2 linked regions of the Notamacropus eugenii genome follow. The protein of the gene in region 1 purifies or fractionates together with the protein of each later gene. This does not show direct contact. Links are inferred from orthologs where the notes say so. Each region holds a gene or a part of one and is shown in the gene's direction. Other genes may lie near its edges.

Evidence for each region.
Region 2: the proteins of RAB5C (region 1) and GDI1 purify together in Homo sapiens (affinity purification with mass spectrometry; 3 studies listed by BioGRID and IntAct, counting the BioPlex papers as one, with this or other methods). This does not show direct contact. The link is inferred for Notamacropus eugenii from reciprocal best matches to the Homo sapiens genes RAB5C and GDI1.

Annotation. Positions count from the first base shown.
Region 1 is NC_092873.1:358,665,483-358,676,446, reverse strand, and holds the start of RAB5C (ras-related protein Rab-5C), read left to right. Parts: upstream 1-6,492; 5' UTR 6,493-6,741; intron 6,742-7,829; exon of another isoform or gene 7,830-7,905; intron 7,906-10,964. Other genes in the region: voltage-gated delayed rectifier potassium channel KCNH4, read left to right, coding at 2,721-3,203. UniProt on the Homo sapiens protein: The small GTPases Rab are key regulators of intracellular membrane trafficking, from the formation of transport vesicles to their fusion with membranes.
Region 2 is NC_092879.1:9,967,630-9,979,445, forward strand, and holds the start of GDI1 (rab GDP dissociation inhibitor alpha), read left to right. Parts: upstream 1-6,286; 5' UTR 6,287-6,389; coding exon 6,390-6,434; intron 6,435-7,532; coding exon 7,533-7,640; intron 7,641-7,801; coding exon 7,802-7,901; intron 7,902-8,057; coding exon 8,058-8,192; intron 8,193-9,380; coding exon 9,381-9,579; intron 9,580-9,745; coding exon 9,746-9,877; intron 9,878-10,595; coding exon 10,596-10,695; intron 10,696-11,393; coding exon 11,394-11,565; intron 11,566-11,816. Other genes in the region: ATP6AP1 (V-type proton ATPase subunit S1), read left to right, coding at 1,790-1,837, 1,945-2,176, 3,403-3,612. UniProt on the Homo sapiens protein: Regulates the GDP/GTP exchange reaction of most Rab proteins by inhibiting the dissociation of GDP from them, and the subsequent binding of GTP to them. Promotes the dissociation of GDP-bound Rab proteins from the membrane and inhibits their activation.

The DNA of each region.
Region 1 (10,964 bases):
CCTACTATGTGCTGGGCCCTGTGCTAAGCCCCAGGAGTACAAAGGAGAGCAAAAGACAGTCCCTGCCTTCAAGGATCTTATAGCCTAAAGGGAGAGATAACATGCAAATAATATATACAAATAAGATATACAGGGGGATCAGAAAAGACTTCTTATAGAAGGTAAGATTTTAGTTGGGAATTGAAGGCAGCCAGGAAGTAGAGAAGAGGAAGATTATTCCAGGCATGGGGGAATGGCCAGGAAAAAATGCATGGAATCTCGAGATGGAGTGTCTTTGTTGAGGGAGAACAAGGAGGCCTGTGTCACTGGAATGCAAGGTATGGGTGTGTGTTAAGGTGGAAGAAGACTAGACAGGTGGGGAGGGGGAGGGGAACGATAGGTTATAGTTTTGAACACCATCTAGAGGATTTTATATTTGATCCTGAAAGTGTTAGAGAAATACTCCTTGGTGTTGAGTTGTTTCCACCATGTCTGATTCTTGGTGACCTGATTTAGGGTTTTCTTGGCAAAGATACCAGAGTGGTTTGCCATTTCCTTCTCTAGCTTATTTTACAGATGAGGAAGATGAGGCAAACGGAGTTAAATGACTTGCTCAGGGTCACATAGCTAGTACATGTCTGAGGCTCGATTTGAACTCAGGTCCTTCTGACTCCAGGGCCAACGCTTTATCCACTGTGCCAGCTAGCTGCTCTAGAGAGATACTGGAGTATATTAAATGCAAGGGAGGAGTAACATGGTTAGTACTGCATATGACTTTTGAGGTCATCTAGTCCAACCCATTCATTTTACAGATGAGCATAGGAAGGTCCAGAGAGTTTGTGACCTACCCAAGGTCTCAGAAGCAGTAAACATTAGAGCTAGGATTTGACAATAAGAATAACAATAATAATAATAACAGTAGTAGTACTGTAATAGTAGTATTATTATATATATTATGCATTATATGTAATATGTTATGTATATAGGACAGTAATAGTATTATTATACTACTACTACTATTATTACTATTAGATCTAGGATCTAGGTAGTAGTAGTAGAAGTAGTAGCGGGTAGTTATATAGCACTTTAAGGTTTGTGAAGAGCTGTAATCTTATTTGAGCCTCCCCAAAACCCTGGGAGGTAGGTGATATTATTGTCTCTATTTTACAGATGAGGAAACTGAGGCTGAGAGAAGTTAAATGACTTACTCAGGGTTGCACAGCTAGCATGAGACAGGATTTCAACTCAGGATTTTCTTTCTTTTTTTGCAAAGCAATCAGGGTTAAGTGAGTTGCCCAAGGTCATACAGCTACTAAATGTCAAGTGTCTGAGGCTGGATTTGAACTTAGGTCCTCCTGACTCCAGGGCTGGTGCTCTATCCACTGAGTTATGCCCTTACCAACTTTCTGACTCCAAGTCCATTTATATCTAAATTGAGGACCTATCTCCCCCCCATACCTTCATCATACCATACCATACCATCATACCATAATACTTCTTAGTCTATTTTCAAGCCTCTGCATTACCTCTGTGCCTCTAACATTGCAACAGTATACGCTCATGCTTTGTCATTAACCATAGCCACCTTTCATTCCCCTAAAACACCACCATGTGCCATCTCTGATGCTATCCTGTCCTCCACAGCCAGGAAAACCAACATTTCCCTAGAAGTTTTTCTTCAGGGTTCCACGGTTTCAGTGGTGTGTGTGTTTTCCCAGTGATAGATAGGTTTTCATAAATTGCTGTGGCTAGGAAAACAAGGAAGCAAACAAATGAATACCTGTGGTCAACTTTTCATTTATGTAGACTGGTCCTCAAACCATGGACCCACCATTCATCACTGGGCCAATGCCCAAAGCCTTGCCATCTTGGGAAGTTTTGGTGATCTGAAAGCACAGACATTCTTTAAAAAGGTTTATTTTATATATATTGTTGCATGAATTTTCTTATCAACTTGTGCTGGCATTAATTAGTTAGTTGATTAATTAGTCAGTTGATAAGGAAATTTGTGCACCTTTGATTTTCATACTGTCTACATTTCCTCAGGTATCCCTCCCCTTCTCAGAGAGCCATCCTTTATAACAGACAATAAAAAAGGGCGGGGGGAGAAAACAGTTCAGCAAAACATAGGCAATGTATTAAAAAAAAGTCGGGCTTTATATGTGGTGGGTTCCAAACCTTCTGCAAAGAAGTCTGGAGAGGGTAGAGGGTGGGGAGGGGGCAGAATGCCTTCCAGTCCTGTTCCTTGAGGCCATGCTTGGACATGACAATTTGGCCACATCCAATTTTGTTTATTTGGTTATTGTCATTCTTCCCTCTGTGCATTGTTGTGGTGATTGTGTGTTTTACTTCACCTTGCCTCCATTTGTATGTTTTCACACTTCTCTGAACTCATCACATTCATGGTTTCTTTCAAAACAAGAATATTCCATCATGTACCACAACTTGCTTAGCCATTCCCCGTTCGTGGGAATCTACATTGTTTCCAATTCTTTGCTACTTCAAAAAATTGATACAGTAAATATTTGACTGTGGAAGTAGACTTTCTTTTTTTATCATTGACCTTCTTAGGGGTATATGCCTGGTGGTAGGGTCTCTGGGTCAAAAGGTATGGGAATTTTAGTTATTTGCTTTGCATGATTCCAAATGAGCATAGCCTTGTAGAATTTAAGGTGAGTTCAATAGAAGAACATAAGAGGATTTTAGTAGAGGCCTAGAAGTAATAATTATATTTTCTGCAGATCACCCATCTCAACCAGGAAGTATCTCAGCTCAGCAGGGAACTTCGCCACATGATGCACTTGCTTCAAGCCTGGTTGGCAACCCGGGCACCCTTCACAGACTTTCCTGTTCCCCCTGGGCCTTCTACTCCTCCATGTCCACCACCAAGACCTCTTTGTGTTTCTCCATTGTTGACTGAGCCATGCCCTGGGACTCAAGATACCACATATGCTGAGGTCCACTGTCCCCAAAGTTCTCCCCCAGCTGGACTGAGGGAATCAGAAATGGGAACCTCTCCCCAGGGCTCCAGATCTGCGACACCAACCCTCTGCCCCCTGCAGATACGCCCTTCTAGCCCTGGCTCTCGGCCTGCCCTCCTAGGACCATCATCTGGGCTGGAAGTTCCATCTCCACCTGCTGGCTCTGTCTTCCCCAACGGTTCAGCTCCACTCCAGAGCACCAACCAATACCACTTCCACTCCAGTTCAGACACTTTCCACTGACCATGGTTTTAGGGCCCAGGCCTATCCAGTGGGGGCTTGGGCCACCCCCCTGGGAGGGTTTGGGTGTCTTGCCTGCCTACTACATAGTCAAAAGCCACTGGCTGGACTGGTCATCATAGGACCTCCTTCAGAGGTGTGACAAATGGTGGTGAACCCTGACCCCACTCCCTCTTTCATCCTTTCCCTCCTGCCCCTGTACTCCTGGTGGAGCCATCTGAGCCAACTGTGCCCAGTGGGCATGAGACAAGGAGTTGTGCCTGCGTCAGACTGGGCAGAGGATGTGCCCTTCTCCCAGGTGACCTGAAAGCAGGTAAGGAAGAGTGGTGGGAGGGTGGAGGTGGCAGGGAATGGTGAGTGAACAAGGCTAGCTTAAATGGAGAAGACTCCAGGGACAGAAGTGAGAGGTCCTAGAGGTTTTCCTGCCTGGGGAAGTGAAGTTTGAGGAAAGAAGGAAACACTAAGTCTTGGGCTGGGAGTCTCCAAAGGCATAGTTGAGCCCATCTAATGGACAGGCAATAAGGACCTAAGTGGTTTTGGTCTCTTGCTGAAACTGTAACGGGTATGAAAAGTTAGATTGCAGGAAGGACTTCCTGCCCAGGGGGTTAGGAATGGCTGAAACAGGGAGGGAGGGAAATGAGATTTTTCTCTTGAGATCACTTGGTGAGGATGAGAAACTCCCTTCTGCCTTCACCCTTTGAGCTGGGGAAAGCAGGAGATCTGAAGACTTCAGTCATGATGAGAGATCTCCAAGCACATAAATTCTTTAGGCATCATACAGCCTAGGCTGGGAAGATTCATGAGATTATAGATTTAGAGCTAGAAGGGATTTTTGAGGTCACTAATTCCAACTCCCTCATTTTATACTTGGGGAAACTGAGGTTTGGCCAAGCTATTAAGTGTCTGAGATAGGATTCAAAACTTAGTCTTCCTGACTTTTAAATCTGATGTTCCATACAATATACCACCCTGTCCATTTAGGGATCAAGATAGAGATACTTTAGGGACAAAAACTGTACCCATCTGAGGGATGAGAGAGTGAGGGAAGCCCCCAGGGGGGCTGAGTGTATACTCTTTGGCTCCCATTTGCTTCCTGCTTTAAGAGTTACAACTTTTCTCACCACTCTCTGAGAAGTAGGTAGTATTATCTCCCCTCTTTCGAAAATGAAGAAAGATTCAGAGACAAGACTGACTAGTTTGTGGTCACCCAGCTATAAAGTATCAGAGCCAGAATTCAAATTCAGGTCTTTTGACTACAAAGTCCAGCCCAGTTATCACTGCTCAGTAATATTAGTACAACTCCAGGCTCTATTCCCTCAAACTGACCCAATCCTGGAATGGAGTAGTGTTTGGGGGGATGGGGAAAAGGGAGGCAAAAGTAGTGTCCACTAATACCTTTCCCTGTATCTCCAAGCACATCTTTAGCTTTCTTTGTATGTATGTGTGCTTTATGTCTCTAGGTTCCAGCTCAAGGTGACCAGTCTGGCTGTGGATGACCCTTCAGATATTCCCAGGAACCACCCTTTCCAAATTCTCCAGCCCTGACCTCTTACCCCAGTTCCCTGGCTGTGACTTAGCCCATCTACCTCCCTTTCTGTTCTGTCTCATACTCAGGGTCCCCTCTCCACATGAACCATTCCTGCTCCCTGAGCATTGGGCCATATCCCTCTCACCCCCTATTCTCCTCTAGAGAACCTTCCTTTTCCTCTCTCTGGCTCTCATAGGGGAAATAAAATTTTCTTTATTTTTGTAGTTGTTGGACCTGTCTGTTTCTTGGGATGTATTGGGAAGCTCCTAAGGCTCAGAGGAGGCAAAACAAGCAGGTGACTGCAAAGGCCCTCTCTGCACTGCACCCCAGGGTCCCTGTTGCCATCTCTAGGAGGAGCAAAGGCGCCGACCTGCCTGGCACAACATTCATGACAACAGTGGCCCCAGGGAACAGGGGTGGGGAATCCTTAACAAGTGCTCCTGGGACTCATTATAGCATCTAACTTACCTCCCCCTAAATAGCACTTGGGAGAGACAAAGCCCTGTTCCCCCCACTCCAACAGACAGAGGGGGGAATAGAAAGGGGTCTTTGTCAGATGGAATCATTCCCCTTTCTCTTGAAAAATTCACATCCCATTCTCATTGTCCCCAGCATTGAAATTCAGCTGTATCCGAGAAGGAGCATGTGTCATCTGCCTAGGATCTTCTGTGTCTCCCATTCTTCCCCACTCCCACCCACATACTGGATATTTATAACTTATACCCCTCCCAACCCTCCACCTCCACACTCCTGTGTCTCTACCTTCCTCTGCATCTTGGGGAGGAATGGGGGCGGGGGTGCCTCGGTGGCCAGATGGTGTTAGAGATGGGGAGGAGTTGTAGAATTGTGGGATGGTCTCAGAGTAACTAATTCTCTCTAGGCTGCAATAGGAGGGCAGTACCCTTGAGACCAACATCCTGTCCTGTCTGTGAGGTGATCTGAAATTCCAGAACAAATCCAGGATATTATTTTCGTCGGGTGGCAGGAGACAGAGGTTGGCTTTTTTGGCCTGGTTTCCTGGGACGTATATTCTAGCCACTTTTTTTTGTAGTATCTTCTCTCAACCAGCCTGCAACCCTTTTACAGCGCCCCCTCTATGCCCCCCACATGCTCACGATTAAGCTTTCGCCCTACTCTTATCCTGAAGTCTTTCTCTTGGGTCTGCAGAACATTGTAGTGTCAAAGGGATGATCCTTGGTCCTGAGATTTAAGAAACCTAGCTTATAGGTTTCTCTGCCATTAGTGGTTGGCACTAGTGGTGCCAGCTAGTGGTTGTCTCTGCCACTAACTCTGGGTGATCTTGGGCAAGCCTGGCCTCAGTTTCTCCAGCTGTGAGACACAAAGGGATTGGTCCACTTGATTTCGAAGGTACCTTCTAGCTCAGCGTGAGACTGCAGCGTGCATTTGCTGAGTGGGGTAGTGGGATGGGGGGGTCTGGGGTTTGTTAAATTGAATTAAATTGACTTGCAAGGGAGTGATGGGAGATAGAGGGGAGCGGAATCCCCGCAGCTCTATTAGGAAATGCATTAGGGCTGACAACCTCTCTAGGTTAAACAGCTTTTATCTCCCACTAATTACAATGCGCCCCTCCTAGCCCGGATTCAAGCTACTCTTCGTCTCCCCAGGTCCCCAGGCCCTTTGAAGCGTCAGGATCGGCGGGCCCCGCCTAGTCTGCAGCCCGCTCCACCCCAATTCCGGAGCTCAAGTTCCTTCTCTCCGCCCAATGCCACGAACTACAAGTCCCAGGACACCCCGCCCCCAAGTCCCTTTTCCCGCCGCGAGATCGCCCCCTGCCGGCTCAGCGGGCGTTCCGAGAGAGCCTCTTTCCTATTGGTCTCTCGTCCCTGTCAGTCACCCGGGACCGGAGAGGGGCGGGGCGAAGTAGGAAGATCCGGATCCGGAGCGGCTGAAAGGCGGAAGTGGAGGCCGGAGCCTGGGACACTGCCGGGGGGGAAGAGGAGCGGAGCCAGTCCGCAGAGCCGGCCCCAGCAGCCCCGTCGCCCCAGAGCCTCAGTGAGTAAGCCTGTCCCGGGACCTCCGTGGGCTCCCGCCCGCGCCTCCACCCTGCCAGGCCTCGCCCTTCCCCCCTTTATCCCTCTTCCCTCCTCTCCGCCCGACCCCAGTTGAGGGGACACTGGCCCCTCCCAGGGTCCCGGCGTCTGACCCCTCCCCCGACCCGTAGTCGGACGGGGTTGGGGGGGGTCTCCTCTGTCTACTCCCAGCCCGAGGGGGCCCGCGTCCCGCGGCGCGTCCTGCCCTGCGCATTTCAGGCCTCGGCGAGCCCCTCTTCCTCCCCCTTCCTAGCGACCCGGGCGACCCAGGGCCGTCCTGCCGCCCCTGGCCTTGAGGCCCAGGTCGTGACCGGTCCCTGATCTTGGGGGTGTCGCCTGCGGGGCTGCGGCTGCTGCGCCCCTCCCCTCCTCCAGCTGTGGGGGGCGTTCCCCTTCTTCCCCGCCCCCCGGAAACCGTGCGCTTCTACCTGTCCTGGCCCGGGAGAGCTGGCTCCAGTTGTGATTTTTTTTCCCCTGTGACTGAGACCTCCTCAGCCACTTTTCCCTGCCACTGACATGGGGGGGAGGCGGAGAAAGAAGTATTTATTAATCACACCTACTATGTGCCAGGCGCTGTGCCAAGCGATTTACGGACATTGTCTTCTTTGAACCTCACAGCAACCTTGTGAGGTAGATGCTGTAATCATCCCCATTTTACAGTCTAGAAAACTGAGGCAGTCAGAAGTGAAGTGACTTGTCCAGGTTCACTCAGCTAGTAAGAGTCTTGAGGTCGTATTTGAACTCAGGTCTTCCTGAAGCCAGAATTAGCATATTCCGCTATATCATGTCTGTTTCTTTTTTTCCCTCTCTCTAGATCCTAGACCCTTGCGTTGCTTCCCTTTTCTGTCCTACCTTTTCCCCTTCCTGTCTTCTCTATTTTATTGTCCTTTCCCCAGACTGTGAACCCTGGGTCCGTCTTAGGGGTAGGGGTGAGAGGGGGATGTCTCCTTTCTTCACTTTTTTCCTCCTGTCATGAAAAGGATTTATATATTCTTTTCCTGTCGGTATAACCCCTTTTTATGAATATCTTCCTTTTCATCCCCAGCGGTTTGCTACATTTCAGGGTGGATAAGTCCACTATCTCAACTGTCTTTGCTTCTGGGTTGGCCCCCTCCTCCAAGAGCACGTGAGTGTTTTCCAAGCTTCCTCTGAGGGATGGCTCCTCCTAGGACAGCTGTCTGTTGGCTTTCCCTGGAAGGGGAAGTAAGTTAGGGACCTCCCAGAGGGTGAAGGGTGTTGGGACTGGAGGTTTCACCCTAAAGCAACAGGTTCAGGCATCTTGTGGTTTCAGAGTGGATAGCTTTAGAGTTTTGATATCTTCATGAAACTTTATACACATGTACTTATGTCAGTGAATACAACTTCTTACCCAAACCCAAACAGAAACCTGCTCTTCCAAGGGGAATATTGAGTTTATGTCTCTTTTATTGGTGACTTGGGGATGTGAATCAGCTGCTGCAGAGTGGTCATAGCCTGAATCCAAGTAGAGGCCAAAGACTGTTTGGCTGGGTTCTTTGAGGCCATGTCTTACATTTGATATTTTCATCTGACTAAGAGGAGACCTATTCCATGTTACAGCAGACTCTTTAGCTCACCTTGAACCAGTATCTTTGGTGACCATAGTTTTCTTGAGGAGTACCTTCTAAGACTAGAGTTACTTTTTGTTTCATAGGTTTCTGTTGACTTTTCGTTAACTATTGAGGCCTAACTCCTACCATTGGATAGGTTTCTCTTTTTTAAATGAATTTTTGTTTTAGATCTGTGATGTATTACCATGTTTCTGATGACTAGTTTATAGCCCTACACAGAAATAACAATTGGAGCTTATATTTCCCATTTTGTCTCTCCTACCTGTGTACACACTGCTTGATAATCAGTGAAGACAGTGTGCTTTGGTGAATCAGGTTTAGTAGGGGGGAAGTTTTTTTCCTAGTCCAACTAGTCTGTTCTTGGTAGCTTACTGGATTTTAGTGAGATGTCCTCTCCTTTCCCTATTGGCCTCCTCTTATCCCCAACCAGAACTGAGTAGGTGGGGACAACCTTGTGAACCTTATTTCTTAGCACCCCGTCCTATCAATCCCTGCCCCTGCCCCCAACTCTCTTGCTTGCTTTTAATACCTGAAATATGTGCTCAGCAGAGTATGTTTTACTTTGGCATCCCAACAAAATAGTCTGGGTTGTCAGTCCTGGAGAGGGCAATGCTGTTTCAGATCATTGGCACCTAGAGTGTAGAAACCAGGCTCTATATCACTTCATCTCTGTGCTGTGCCATGAACAGGTTGGTACTTACTAGGCACTTTTTGATGATGAGGTGGTTATGAAAAGAAAGCAACCTTTCTCCAACCCAAGGTGACTTGTAAGCATTTTTTTAGAAGCAGTACAATGTTGATTTCTGTTTGGGTACTAATGGTCCCTCATTCTGAGGGAAACCAAGAGCATGGGGGAGAACACTTGTCGTTTGCATTTCTGCTGCAGCCCCAGTAAAATAGAGGCCCACAAAGATGCTTTGAGATTTGTCAGTTTTTGTGTCACAGACCTTTCTGCTTCTCAGCAAGCAGGGGTTGTGACTGTTGGCATAGATACAGATCATTAGTAGTCACATTCTACTCTGCACACCTGTTGATTCTTTTTGAACCTTTTCTCTTGCTTTTGCCTTAGGCCTGCTACTGATATCCCGAGCAATTGTTGAGCCACCCTGACCCTAGAATACTCTACTTCATGGGGACCTAAAAGTGGTAGTGACTGTCTGGGCAGAGCAGGTCTTTGTTCTGCCCTGATCTCCCAACTTTGCTGCTTATTGATGAGATGTAGCAAATGTGTAGGTTACTTTTTATCCTGAATCTATTGGTATGAAAATGGAGTATACCATAGATTTTTTTTCAGCTCTTCCCTCCAAAGTAAACCCGTCTCATCTCTTATATGCTTATCAATTAAAACTGGACTACATTTTCTGCAAACATGGACCCTATCCTGTGGTGGATTCCCTTTACAATTCAAAGTCTTTTAGGGCATTACAGTACATATGCTTGTGGTTATGGTGTTTGTTAGGGCCTACTGATTTGAGCCCTGGTAATATCTAGTACTTAGGGGAAGCTAGGTGGTGCAGTGGGATAGGTTGCTGAGGTCAGGAAGACCTGAATTCAAATCCAGCCTCAGACACTTACTAGCTGTGTGACATGGGCAAGTCACTTAACCCTGTTTGCCTCAGTTTCCCCATCTGTAAAATGAGCTGGAGAAGGAAATGGCAAACCACTCCAGTATCTCTGCCAAGAAAATCCCTAGTGGGGTCATGAAGAGTCAGACATGACTGAAACAACTCAACAGTAGCAACAACAACAAATCTAGTGCCTCTCAGGCTTTAATCGTTTGGGTGCTTTGGACTATATATTTCAAATTTTTAAGTATATGTATTTTAAGTCTTGTAGCCCAGTAACACAGGATAGTTGTGGTTCAGGTCCAGATTCCTGCTGGGTTTGGAGTCAGGAAGACCCAAATCAAATCTAACCACAAATATTGCTTTGCCCTTGACCTTGGGCAAGTCATTTAACCACTTTTTGCCTCAGTTTCTTCATCTGTAAAACAGGCTTCATAATAGAACCTACCTCCCAGGGTTGTTGTGAGGATCAAATGTGATAGAAATCTTAAAGTACTTACTTAGCACAGTGCCTGGCAAATAGTAGGTATTATATAAATGTTAATAATTATTGTTATTATTAGGCTTTAGTCTTTGAAACTAGCAAATAATACCTCCTTCCACATGCAAGAAGGCCTGAGTTGTTTCTGTTCTAGAGGAGAATAGGTTAATTTAGAAAAAAAAGACTTGTTCAGGTTGACTTCTTCTCCCTATCCTAGGACTGGGGAAATGTAGCTACTCCAAGGGTAGGTTAGATGTGATGGTTATCTACTCTGGTTCTCTTTTATATAGAAAGAATTGGAGGATTAGAGCTGTGAAGGGACCTTAGAGGCTGTCTAGTTGAGCCCTTTTGTAGAGGAAGAAGCTGGGTCTCAGAGAAGGTAGTGACTTGCTCAGGCTCCATGGTAATAGGTTTCAAAGGTAGGATTTGAATCCAAGTCTCAATTTCATTGCTTTTTTTACTATACCATTTTTACTTTGAGTGTAGAGAACACAGCAGACTTGTGATTGTATATTTAATGACAGTTTCTTAGGCGACAGATTGAAGCTAT
Region 2 (11,816 bases), on another chromosome or scaffold:
GAATCATGTGTCCTTGGAGCCTTTGGGTCCATCCAACGCTGTTAATATGTTCATTTGCTTCCGCACATTGTGTACCTAGTGTACCGATCCTCAGAGTTGAGGTTAATTTTGATCATTGATGCATTGTAGCATAGTTTGAGATCTGAGGCTTCCTTCCCCCCCACCCCCATTTTCCATTGTTTCTTAAGAGATTCATTTTCGTTATTTCTATTAGCTCTTTTAAAATAATCTTTTTGAAAGTATCCATGGCACTGAATTTTTCTCTAGTTGTTGGGTCTGTTATTTTTTCTATAAATGTTTGTAGTTTTGGTCATACAGTTCCTTTGTGGATCTTGGTAGGCAGACACAAATATTTTATGTATTCTATATATTCCATATTCATATATATTCATAATGTATTCTATATTTTGAATAGAATTTCTCTTTCTCTTCCTGCAGGATTTTGTTGGTAATTGACAGAAATACTGATGATTTATGTGGATTTATTTTCTATTCAACTTTGCTGAAGTTATTATTTTAGCTTAGTTGACTTTTTGGGGTTCCATCATATCATCTGCAAAAAGCGATCATTTTGTTTTCTCTTTGTCTATGCTTAATTCCTCGACTTTCTTTTCTTGTTTTATGGTTCTAGATCATTTTCATGTTATTATGTTAAATAATAGAAGTGTTGATGAACATCTCCGGCTCAATCTTGGTCTCATTGGAAAGGCCTCCAGCCTTTCTCCTTTACATGGAGTTTTAGATAGGTACTACTTAGGCAGCTGGGTGGCAGAGTGGGTGGATGTTGGACTGAAAGTCAAGAAGATCCAGGTTCAAATTTGCCTCATCTATATTATCTGTGTGGCCCAGGGAAAATCACTTAACTTTAATCTGCCTCCATTTCCTCCTCTGTAAAATGGGGATAATGATAACACCCAGTGAGATATTTGTAAAGCATTTTGCCAACCTTAAAGCACTATATGAATGTGTATTCTTATTATTGTGGCCAGAATATTTTTTTCTGATGCTCTACTTGGACTTTAGAAGTTAACTCTTATAGGGTTACTTCTTGGCACACCTCTTAGTACATAACTTTTTTCACTATTATCAGGATTGTTTTCTATCTCAGTTTTTGGATTGGGCTTTTTATGCTTGGGTCAGCCTCTGCCCTCTTCAGTTCTCTTAGCTAAGATGGAATTCTTGGCTTTTGTCAGTCTCTTAGTGGTACAGCTTAGGTTTGGGCCTTGGCACCTTCTCTGAACCCACAGTAGCCTTTGTCCCTAGCTATGAATTGAACAGGCCCAACCTCAATGATGTTCGTACTGGTAGCAGGACTCCTGCTTGATACCTGGTGCTTTGCTTCCCAGATAGCCCCGCTCTTTCTTCTCTTGGTCCACGCTACTTATTTATATGCTGTGCTTTCAATCTATCCTGGATGGAGGGAGTATATAGATTTTTGTGTATTTTCTTTTATCATTGTTCCCTTTTTTAAGGGCTTTATTGGGGACTCCTCTTCTAGGCCCTAAGTGGCCACTGTCTTCACACATATTCTTTGAACAAGAGGGTGGGGCCAGTGGGAGTTAGAACTATGACTTGGGAGTTTTGAAGCCTGGGTCCAAGCTTCAGCTCCATTCTCAGCTTGTGTGTGTGAGTGAGCTTGATTAAATTCTTGCCTACACATTGAGAACCATAGGAAACCTTCAATCTCAGTGGCACTGAGCACTTTGGGAATAGTCTATGTGGTAGAGATTCCCTTTGACAACCAAGGATGGTAAAGCTGAGCAGCCCTTTCTTTCCTCTGTTTTCCTAGGCTTGCGCTGACATATGAAAACCTCTTTGGCCCACTTCTGACAATCAAGTAAGTGCTGGGGTGGCAGGGGGGTGGGGAGGAGGTTAAAGGGGTTGGTGAAGAAAGCTTTGGGCAGTCTTTGGAGTTTCCACTGATCATCTGACTTTCTCTCCCAGGTTTATTCTGAGCAGCCATTTCTACCCTGTTTCAGCCCGAAGCTGGTTCATCATGGATCGACTAGAGATCCACAACAACAACTCGGTTGTGGTCTTCAATTCCTCACATGTCACAGCACCTAGCATCTATTCCTTTCACTGCCAGTATGTTAGCACTGAACGTTCAAAAGCAGGTCTCCTAATATCTTCACCTGGTTCCTCTGCCTGGCATGTGACTTTCCAGAATTTCCAGGTAGGATGAAAGGAGCACAGGAGGTGGGGAGTACATGTTCTGTTTCGGTGAGGGAGGAATTACTAACATTCCCAGTTGAAGAAAGCCCCCAGAGGGGAAGGAATCAAGGGCACAAATAGAAGGATTGGCTTTGGTGAGAAGGGCCGTGTTTTCATCACAGACTGGGCCAAGGGGAGGGAGATTAGGGAGGGTGATGAGGGGATTTGAGTATGTGTGGAATTAAGGAGTATAAGGAAGTTCACAATGGATGGCATCGATTTTCACTTTAAAAATGATGCATGAGGTGCTCTGCTAAGGGATGAAAGATGGAGAAAATGGTGGAAGTGAGTCAGTTTAGGGAGAATCAAAGGAGTGCTGTTTGGTAGGGAGAACTCAACTGAAATTCAAGAACGTGAAACTGAAGTAAACTCAGCCCTGTTAGGATTGGAGAGAGTAGATGGGGGTGGGATGGAAGAGTGAGATTAATCTAGGGTTGGAATTTGGAAAGTCATGATAGTGATAGGACAAGGAAGGGGTAAGAGATTTGAGGGCAGAGAGGAACACAGTTAAATTGAATAAATGAGGGAAGAAGGTGAGACCAGAACAGAGGTAGATGGTGATGCGGTGAGAAAGCCGGAAGAAATGGAATGCCCTGAAATCAAGTTGAAGATGAAGGCTAGATAAAGGGAGGGGTTGTAAGTAAGGTACAAGAAGAGGAGCTTGTAGGCTGAGAGGAATTTGAGTCCTAGATCATTAAATAGAACATTTAGGAATGAGAGAGAGAGGTGTGTGTGTAGTACAAGTTATCACGGAAGCTAATGTCGCATGAAGACTTTAAGCTTATAAAATCAGAGTTTAGGGTGGAGAGGAAGGCTGAACTCTAGGAAAGAAGAGGGAGGTATAGAGTTAGGGTGGTGTAGCTTCATGGAGAACCTCAAAGAGAGACAGATTGGTAAATGATGGCCACAGTGGGACAGAATTTAGCTGAGCAAGGAGTGTTCATACGTTTCTTCCTGACTATCCATCAAATAGCCTAATTAAGATACTCAGGGATATTAAAAACCTCTCCAGTTCTTGGGTCTACCCACCTTCCTACCTACTCCAGAAACATTCTGCTGGACCCTGGCTCTGGTGGGTGGGATAGGAGAGGAGAGGGCGATTTCCCCTGCACAATTCCTTTTGGATTTCATAGACCAGACCAAACCAGTGTTTGGTTTCTTGTCTTAATTTTCTTTCTTCCTTTTCAGATTCAGGCCTTTAACTTATCTGGTGGAAACTTCTCCTATGCCAGTGACTGTGCCAGCTTCTTCTCCCCTGGCATCTGGATGGGGCTAGTCTCCTCTCTCATCATGCTTTTCATCTTCACCTACGGTCTGCACATGATCCTCAACCTCAAGACCATGGATCGCTTTGATGATCACAAGGGGAGCACTCTCTCTGTGCCCCTGATGGAGTGACCCCTTTAGTCACATGGGGGGGCCAGAAGGGTTGGAGGTGGAGTTTTGTGTTGACTTTGCCTCCTCCCCTTGGAAGGGCTGCCAGGCTACTACTCATTTGTGCTTCCTTAGTAGCTAGGCCTCCCTACCCCTATTTCCTCTTGCTCCACCCCCAATTATCCCAGAACCTGTGGTTACCCTACCCTGTCCGTGGAAACAAAAAAGTGTCTGCCTCTGACAAATACCCTCAGTGAAAACCTTGTAGGCAGTGCACCAATGGAGGGGGTGGGGGGGTGGGGAAGGAGTATCCAGGCCACTTTCCTTCCTGCTGGCTTCCAATCCTTATTTATTCTCCCTAAATCCCTGCCCTCAGGTCTAGCTGCTTCATTGTGTGAGATGTATTCTGGGGATTAGTCAAAATGTAGTCCGGAGGTTGGAAGGTAACTCCAAGTGGGGTGGGGGTGTGAACTTGAGACTTGTTACATTGTCTTGTTTGCTTCTTGTTTTGTCTTTTTCTTTTTTGGTGATGCTAAAGTTGGATGTGATAAGAAATTGAAATAAAATTTTAACTAAGCCTCCAAGACAGTGTGGTCATTTTGTATTAAGCAGGGCTTTGCTTTAAAAGGACAGAGATCAGGGAGTTCACCAGTGGTTATGTGTGGATTTCTTCCTCCTCTCCCTCTATCCACATAGGGTATCAGCCTTTTCTGCAGGTACTCTGCCCAAAGGAATATAAATTTTGATAGCTGAAACTAGCAAGATACCTTGGGGTTTGTGGGCTAGATTTCTTTTTTTATGGACCATACCTTAAACCCAAATCACTTTGGTTCTCATTAATTGGCCAACAATAGGTCCCAGCCCAAGCCTCTTTTGGTCATTGGGCTTTGATGCAGTGTATATAGTAATTGTTTCTGTTTTGGCCAGAAACCGTGAAGCTCTTCCCTTCCCTGAGTGATTTTTGGTTTGGTTTGGTTTTGACTAAGTGAAAGAGGCCATTCTTGGCCTCATTTGTTACCTAGCCTTAATCACTAAATGAGTGTTACCTCAGTCAAACTTCGACCTGGGAAAGGCCTTAGCTTCAAAAGGCCAAAGTCTCCCACTGTGTCTCCAGCCCTGATTTATACCTTGCCACTCTACCCAGATGGCTATGGAGGAGATTGAGGCTAGTGACTTTGTACAGCCCTCCCACACTTAAATCCAAGTCATGACATCACCTTCCTGATGTCATGGTCCCCTTTGAGAACGAAGGACAAACAAAGAAGGGAACTCATGGTGGGGAGAGGGTGTGGGCTTGAAACTTGATTATTTTGTCTTCTAGTTTTTTGGTGGGGCTAAAATTGGATGTGAAAAGAAATTGAAATAACATGTTAACTAAGCCTCCATGACAGCTTTGCTTCAAGAGGACAGATCATTTGGCCTAGGCATTGCTGAGGAAGTCACCAGTGTGTTATCCCTTGTTGTTCAGTGTCTGACTTTTCACCATCCCATTTGGGGTTTTCTTGGCAAAGATATTGGATTGGTTTGCCATTTCCTTCTCCAGCTCATTGTATAGATGAAGAACTGAAGCAAACAGTGACTTGCCCAGGGTCACACCACCAGTATCTGAGACTGGATTTGACATCAGGAAGATATATTTCTGTTTCCAAGCTCAGTGCTCTATCCATTGCACCACTTAGTTGCCCACAGGTTACAGGAGTGGAGGCAAAACAAGGGTTCTTCACCTGGGGTCATTGATACAATTCTGGAAGCCTTTTAAAATTGGATGGGATAAAAACAATTATATTTATTAGCTATAATGGGTTTCTTTTGTAATATTTTGTGCATTTCAAACCATGATTCCGAGGATTCCAGATGCAAAGATAGAGAACCTGTGCCACCTCTCCCATTCCTGGGAAGAGAGGCAGGGCAAATAGTTCATTGATGGGGTTTGGGCATGAAGATTGGGGGTGTTAGGGAGGCTGAAAGGAGAATTTCTTGGCCCTTCAAAGCTCCCTTTGGCTGGTAGGTCTGCAGCCTAGATTTGCCCCTTAGGGATTTGAGGGGACAGGATGGGAAAAGACAAAGCTGAGTCATGGGAGGAGGGTGCGGGGTGCTGGAGATAGCGGCTATAACCTCTCCTGCAGAAGACTGAGGCTTCTGTGAATATGCCCCACCCAGGCCTGGAGCAGCCTCCCCTCCCCCGCCTGGCACCTGCGCCCCCAAGAGATTCGCGCCCCCCATCTGCATGCTGTGATGGGGACAAGGGCGCTTTCCTTGACCCTACTCTTGACAGCCTGTTAGAGGCGGGGTCTTCTCCCCCGAGGCGTTCCCTCATTTTCATCTCCCCCCCTCCCCCCCTCCCCAGCGCAGTTCCTTCTCTCGGGTTCTCCCTCCTGGGGACAGCCCCTCCCCACAGCATCTCCGTGGGTAGGAAGATGCGGGCAGAAGATGCGGGAAGGGGTGCGGATGGATCCCTCTCTTGGTCTCCTCACGGGCCTCTGTCCCTCCCCTCCCCCTCCCTCTCAATGAAGGAATTCCCACAGTCGAGGCAGGCACATCGTAGCCCCTTGCCCCAGCATTCTGCAAGTCTCTCGGCCACGTTCGTAGTCGGGCGTGGTCCACGGGGTGACAGGGCGGCGTCGGCAGCGCGGAAGAGTCGGGACTCTTTGGCACAGCGGAGGGAGCTGGAGGAAAGGCGGTGCTGAGTCCGCCATCTTTGGTCCATTTCAGCGGCGGCGGTGGCAGCAGCAGCAGCAGCGGCAGCAGCGGCGTCGGCGAAGCCGGAAAGCGGAGACCAGCCGAGGCCTTCGAGCAGAACCATGGACGAGGAGTACGACGTGATCGTGCTGGGCACGGGCCTCACGGTGAGTAGGGACCGACAGGAACCCCGACGAGAATGCAGCACCCCGCCCCCCCAACCTAAAAGGTTCCCCCCTTCTTCCCCTCCCCCCACCTTTTCAACCCATCCCCATCATGACCTTTCTTCCCCTCTGTGTGTGGCCCCAGTGGCGTGGGATCCCAATATGCCTTCCTTTCAGTCTCCTCCCAATCAGGGCTACCCTCTTTAACGCCAACCCTAAGATTCACAGATAGTCCTCCCCGTTTTCTTGGAGCCCTACCCACAGGACCACAGAGTATCCATACCCCATCACCACAATCCCCAAGATGATAAGGGTATATCAAACCCTCTGGACGGTAGTATCCTAACCACAGGATAGGGGACTGAAATAATCCTTTCCCTTCCTCTGGGTGGGGGTGAGAGACAGGACAGGCATGGTGTGCTCATTAACCCTGTAATGGATAAACGCATCTGACGTGTAATAGTTGTGTGACCCTGGTTAGTCATTTTCCTCGGCCTTCTATTCATTATTTTCCTCCTTCTTCGGTATTTTCCCCATCTGTAAAATTAGTACCTCCCAGCTCTAGATCTAGTCACATACAAGATGGTGGCCTGAAGGCATGGGCAGGGTTGCTGTGTCCCTACCACATAAAGATGCGCTGATCTTGTGGGAGATTACTTGAGAGTGGGAGAAATGGAGTTCTCCGTGTGCCTCAAGACCAGGAAGAGAAGGCCTAGGGTAGGGCCCTTGCGATACGGCGTTTCTCTGCTTCCAATTGCACCTGTGCTCTGTGTAGCTGTGTTTGTCGACATTCTTATTGCTTCCTGGAATAGGATGTCAGGGTCAGGAAAAGGGGGAGTTGTTTCTCCACTGCTTGCCTTCACTTTGGAGCCCAAATGGCCTTCCCCTTAATAGCTGCGCCATGAAGAGTTTAGCAGAAGGATGGAAACCTACCTCTCCAACCTTTTGTGTGTCTGGTTGGGAGAAGGGGAGGGGCTCTCTTCCGCCTCTCCTCCCCTTCAGTCTTAAGGTAAAGGAATCTGCTGAGATTTCTATTCTGGTTTGGGGAGAGGGTCTATTCACATTCTTTTTCCTGTCTTCCTTGCCGGTCTTCCCCTCCAGGAATGTATTCTCTCTGGCATCATGTCTGTGAACGGGAAGAAAGTGTTGCACATGGATCGCAATCCTTACTATGGGGGTGAAAGCTCCTCTATCACACCCCTGGAAGAGGTGAGGTGACCTGCTCCATTTTTCCCAGGCTCCATTGTCCTTTATAGTCTGACTTCCACGCCTGATCAGCTCTTGGAAGTCTCTACAGGCAGGTTTTGGAGGTGAGGTCAACATTGATTGAATCCTCCCTTTTCCTCTTCTCTGTCTCTCCCTGCTTGTAGCTGTTCAAACGGTTTGACCTGCCTGAAGGACCTCCTGAAAGCTTGGGCAGGGGTCGAGACTGGAATGTTGACTTGATCCCCAAATTCCTCATGGCCAATGGTGAGTGGGAGGATATAGCTGGTGGTAGGTGATATAGGTAGGATGTGGGGGGGGGGGGGGGCAGAATTTGGGGAAAGGGCTTGAGGACCATCAAGTGAATGGGAAAGGGTTATACATATGGAGATGTCTCTCTTCCTCTCCCCATACTACCCACAGGCCAGTTGGTGAAGATGTTGCTGTACACCGAAGTGACTCGTTACCTAGACTTCAAAGTGGTGGAAGGCAGCTTTGTCTACAAGGGGGGCAAGATCTACAAGGTGCCATCTACTGAGACTGAGGCCTTGGCCTCCAGTGAGTGTCACCATCGTTTTTTATTCCAGTTATCAGGACTGAAGGAGAGAGCGTCACACCTCTGAGACTGGTTTCATGATACTGGTGGGGAAAGTGAATTGTCCAGGACACTGGGGAGAAGCCAGGGGCATATTAGGGAGTCATAGGCAGAGCTTGCCCATTGACACAACTCAGGTTTAGATGTGAATGCTTTCCTGGGCCGTTAAGCCAGCAGTATCAGAAGCACACTGTATACAGAATAAATACAAGGGAATTTAGGGCAGAAGGCTAGCCCTTAGAATTTGGGAGGGATCAGGAAAGGTTATATGTGTGTAAAGGCACAAGGATACAAAAGATGGCCGTGAGGAGACCAGTTTGGAGTTCTCAGCATTGTTAGTTGATTGATGAGGTAAACTGGGGCCAAGCCATATAGGACTTGAAAGCCAAACTTGTATTCTAGAGGCAACGGGGAAGCCATTGCAGTTCGGCAGGGGAATGATATGGTCAGACCTTGCTTAATTAAGATTATCTTGGCCAAGAGACTGAGTAGGAGGCTATCATCTAGATGAGGTGATGAGGGCCTAGACGTGAGAGGGTTATAGGGCTAGAAACAGCAAGTTTAGGCCAGTGATTGGCTTTGTGAGGTAATGAAGAGTGAGAATTGGAGATCATAGTGTCTTTGAAGACTTTGAAGAGGATAGGGGTGCCCTAGACAGAAACAGAAATGACCAAGTAATTCCGGGGAGGGGGGACAGAGGTCTAATAGTTTGTTAACAGTGGAATTGAGGGTTCCAGAGGTCGTGATGAAAGAGGGGAAGAGAGAGATAGGGTTAGAGTTGATTTAATTATCAATACAGGTCCCTGACCCAGCATATATAAGGTTCAAGGCAGGGACTCAGTTTGTCATAGAAGTACTAGGTGTTTGTAAGGCACTCTCTCCTTTGATCCCTAGTCAGGTCAGCTGTGCCCAACATTAGGACTCACTGCAGTGTTGAGTAGACTACCTCCCATGGTAGTGGGGAAGGGGAGGAGTTATAAATTAGGAAACTAAGGCCTGGAAATCACACAGTGACTAGCAGAATAAGACTGGCCCTGGAGCCTTCTGCTTTTTAGCAGTGTTGTTTTTATCTCCACTTCATTCATAGTTTTTGCCCCCTTCTCACTGTGGGGTAAACGGTGGGTGAGTAAAGAAACTCCTTTCTCCCTTAGACCTGATGGGCATGTTCGAGAAACGCCGATTTAGAAAGTTCCTGGTGTTTGTGGCAAACTTCGATGAGAATGACCCCAAGAGCTTTGAGGGTGTTGATCCTCAGACCACAACCATGCGAGATGTGTATAAGAAGTTTGACTTGGGCCAAGATGTTATTGACTTCACTGGCCATGCTCTGGCACTCTACCGAACTGATGAGTAAGAAGATATTCTTCCATTTCCCTTCAGGTCCCTTTCTTGACCTTGAATTGTACTAGCTTAAGGGCCCCCTTCCTTAACTGCCATGTTCTAGCACAGTCCCATAATTTTTTTTTTTGCTTAATGAACAAACTTCCTCTTTCCCTTCTTTCCTTCTCACTTTTAGCTACTTGGACCAGCCCTGTCTCGAGACCATTAACCGCATCAAACTGTATAGCGAGTCTCTGGCCCGGTATGGGAAGAGCCCATACCTGTACCCTCTCTATGGCCTGGGCGAGCTCCCCCAGGGATTTGCAAGGTGAGGGGGGAGGGAAATGCAAGCAAAAGTGGGAGTACAATAGGCATGTGAAGGGAATTATTCTCCAGTTTTGCTGTTGCCCTTCTTATTGTTAGCAGGCCATTTTCCAGCTGAGGAAAACTGAAGCTTTTAGCAAGGTTTGGCAGTAGAGTGATTACCCATCAGAGGAAGTTACCAGCCCTAAGCTGAGGGTGATTTTTCATTGCTGCCTCTTGGCCCTGTTCTCAATAGCCAAAGCCTTGCTTTAGTACTGCTTTGCAGGCTCTTCACATTCCATGATTTCCAGTTTGGAATTTTGTTCATATGGATGAGTGAGAAAGAAGTTAACATAGCCTCGTGAAAATATAGTCCTGTGAAAAACCAAAATGAAACAGAACAGGAATTATTGATTTTTCCCTGTGTTAGTTGGAGAAACTGAGTGGGGATGTGATCAATCCAGTCATGCTCTTGGGGCTGGGGGGAGCTAGGTGGCTTAGTGAATTCAGGCACCAGTCCTGGAGTCAAGAGAACCTGAGTTCAAATCCAGACTTAGACACTTACTAGCTGGGTGACCTTGGGCAAGTCACTTAACCCCAATTGCTTTGCCTTCCCCCTCCAAAAAAGAAAAACAAAATCATACTCTTACTCTGACAACCCAGTCCTCTTGATTAGCCTGGGGGTGGGGGTTTCCTGCTGGGGACAGAGGGGCTCTCATCATTGTACTCCCTCCCCACCTCAGATTGAGTGCCATCTATGGTGGGACATACATGCTGAACAAACCTGTGGATGATATCATCATGGAGAATGGAAAGGTGGTAGGGGTGAAGTCAGAGGGGGAGGTAAGCCAGACCATGCTTCTGGAGATCTTCCCCCTATCCTTGCATTCTTTCCCTTCTCTCCTGTCTCCCACCCCCCTCCTCTATTGTTGTCAAAAGACCAAGGGTGGTTTTGATGAATTTGAAATGATGGGTGGTAGGTACATTCAGAAGTTGAGGTCCTAGAGGTTCTGTATGGAACATTCACCCTTACTTAGTCTTGGGTTCAAAGCTGGTTCCATTTTTTTTTCCCTTGGGACAGCAGGGTTCTAGGTGCTGTTGGTTTTCATGACAGCACTGGTTCTAGGTTCTAAGTTTTGGGGAAGAGATAAGGGAGAGCCAGTATTGGGAGCCTGGGCTTTGAAATGAGAATAAGCCAGGCTACCTGCCTACAAGGAATTTCTAATGCTTCAGATACAAAAATGTTGAAAGTCAGTCACGGAGACTGGAAAACAGATAGTGGATGCCTTCATGTGACTTTGAGTCCAAGGGGTTTACTGTTTCTCTGGTCAACTAGTTTTCTTAATTGGTTGGGGTTAGAGTTGGCTATTGAGGCCAAAAACATAGGTTTGCTTCTTCTGTGGCTTCATGAGGTTACTCAGCCCCTTATATCTGGCCATTCTGAAACCCTCGTCCAATGCAAAAGACTCAATGAAGATCCCTACCTACTGGTGGATACCTAGCTCAGCAGGTCAGGGTGCTGCTGTCCCCCTCTACCCCAGGTGGCCCGTTGCAAGCAGCTGATCTGTGACCCCAGCTACATCCCTGATCGCGTTCGAAAGGCTGGCCAGGTTATCCGAGTCATCTGTATTCTCAGCCACCCCATCAAGAACACCAATGATGCCAACTCCTGCCAAATCATCATTCCCCAAAATCAGGTCAACCGGAAATCAGGTGGGCAGTGCTGGTGTAAGTAAGTGAGCATTTGTGGCTATTTCCTTGTAGCTGGAGCACTTGTAGTTTATTTGAATCTGATCTCTCCCTCCATCAGACCAGGGATTTTTCACCTGCCTCTTGGGGGAGATACTGTGCCTTACCAGATTCATGGGATTAGCACACATCCAACAGATAGGGATAATCAACTCTTGTTATCAATTGAAGATGGATAGACTGGTTGCATCCCAACACCTGTATCTATGGCTACT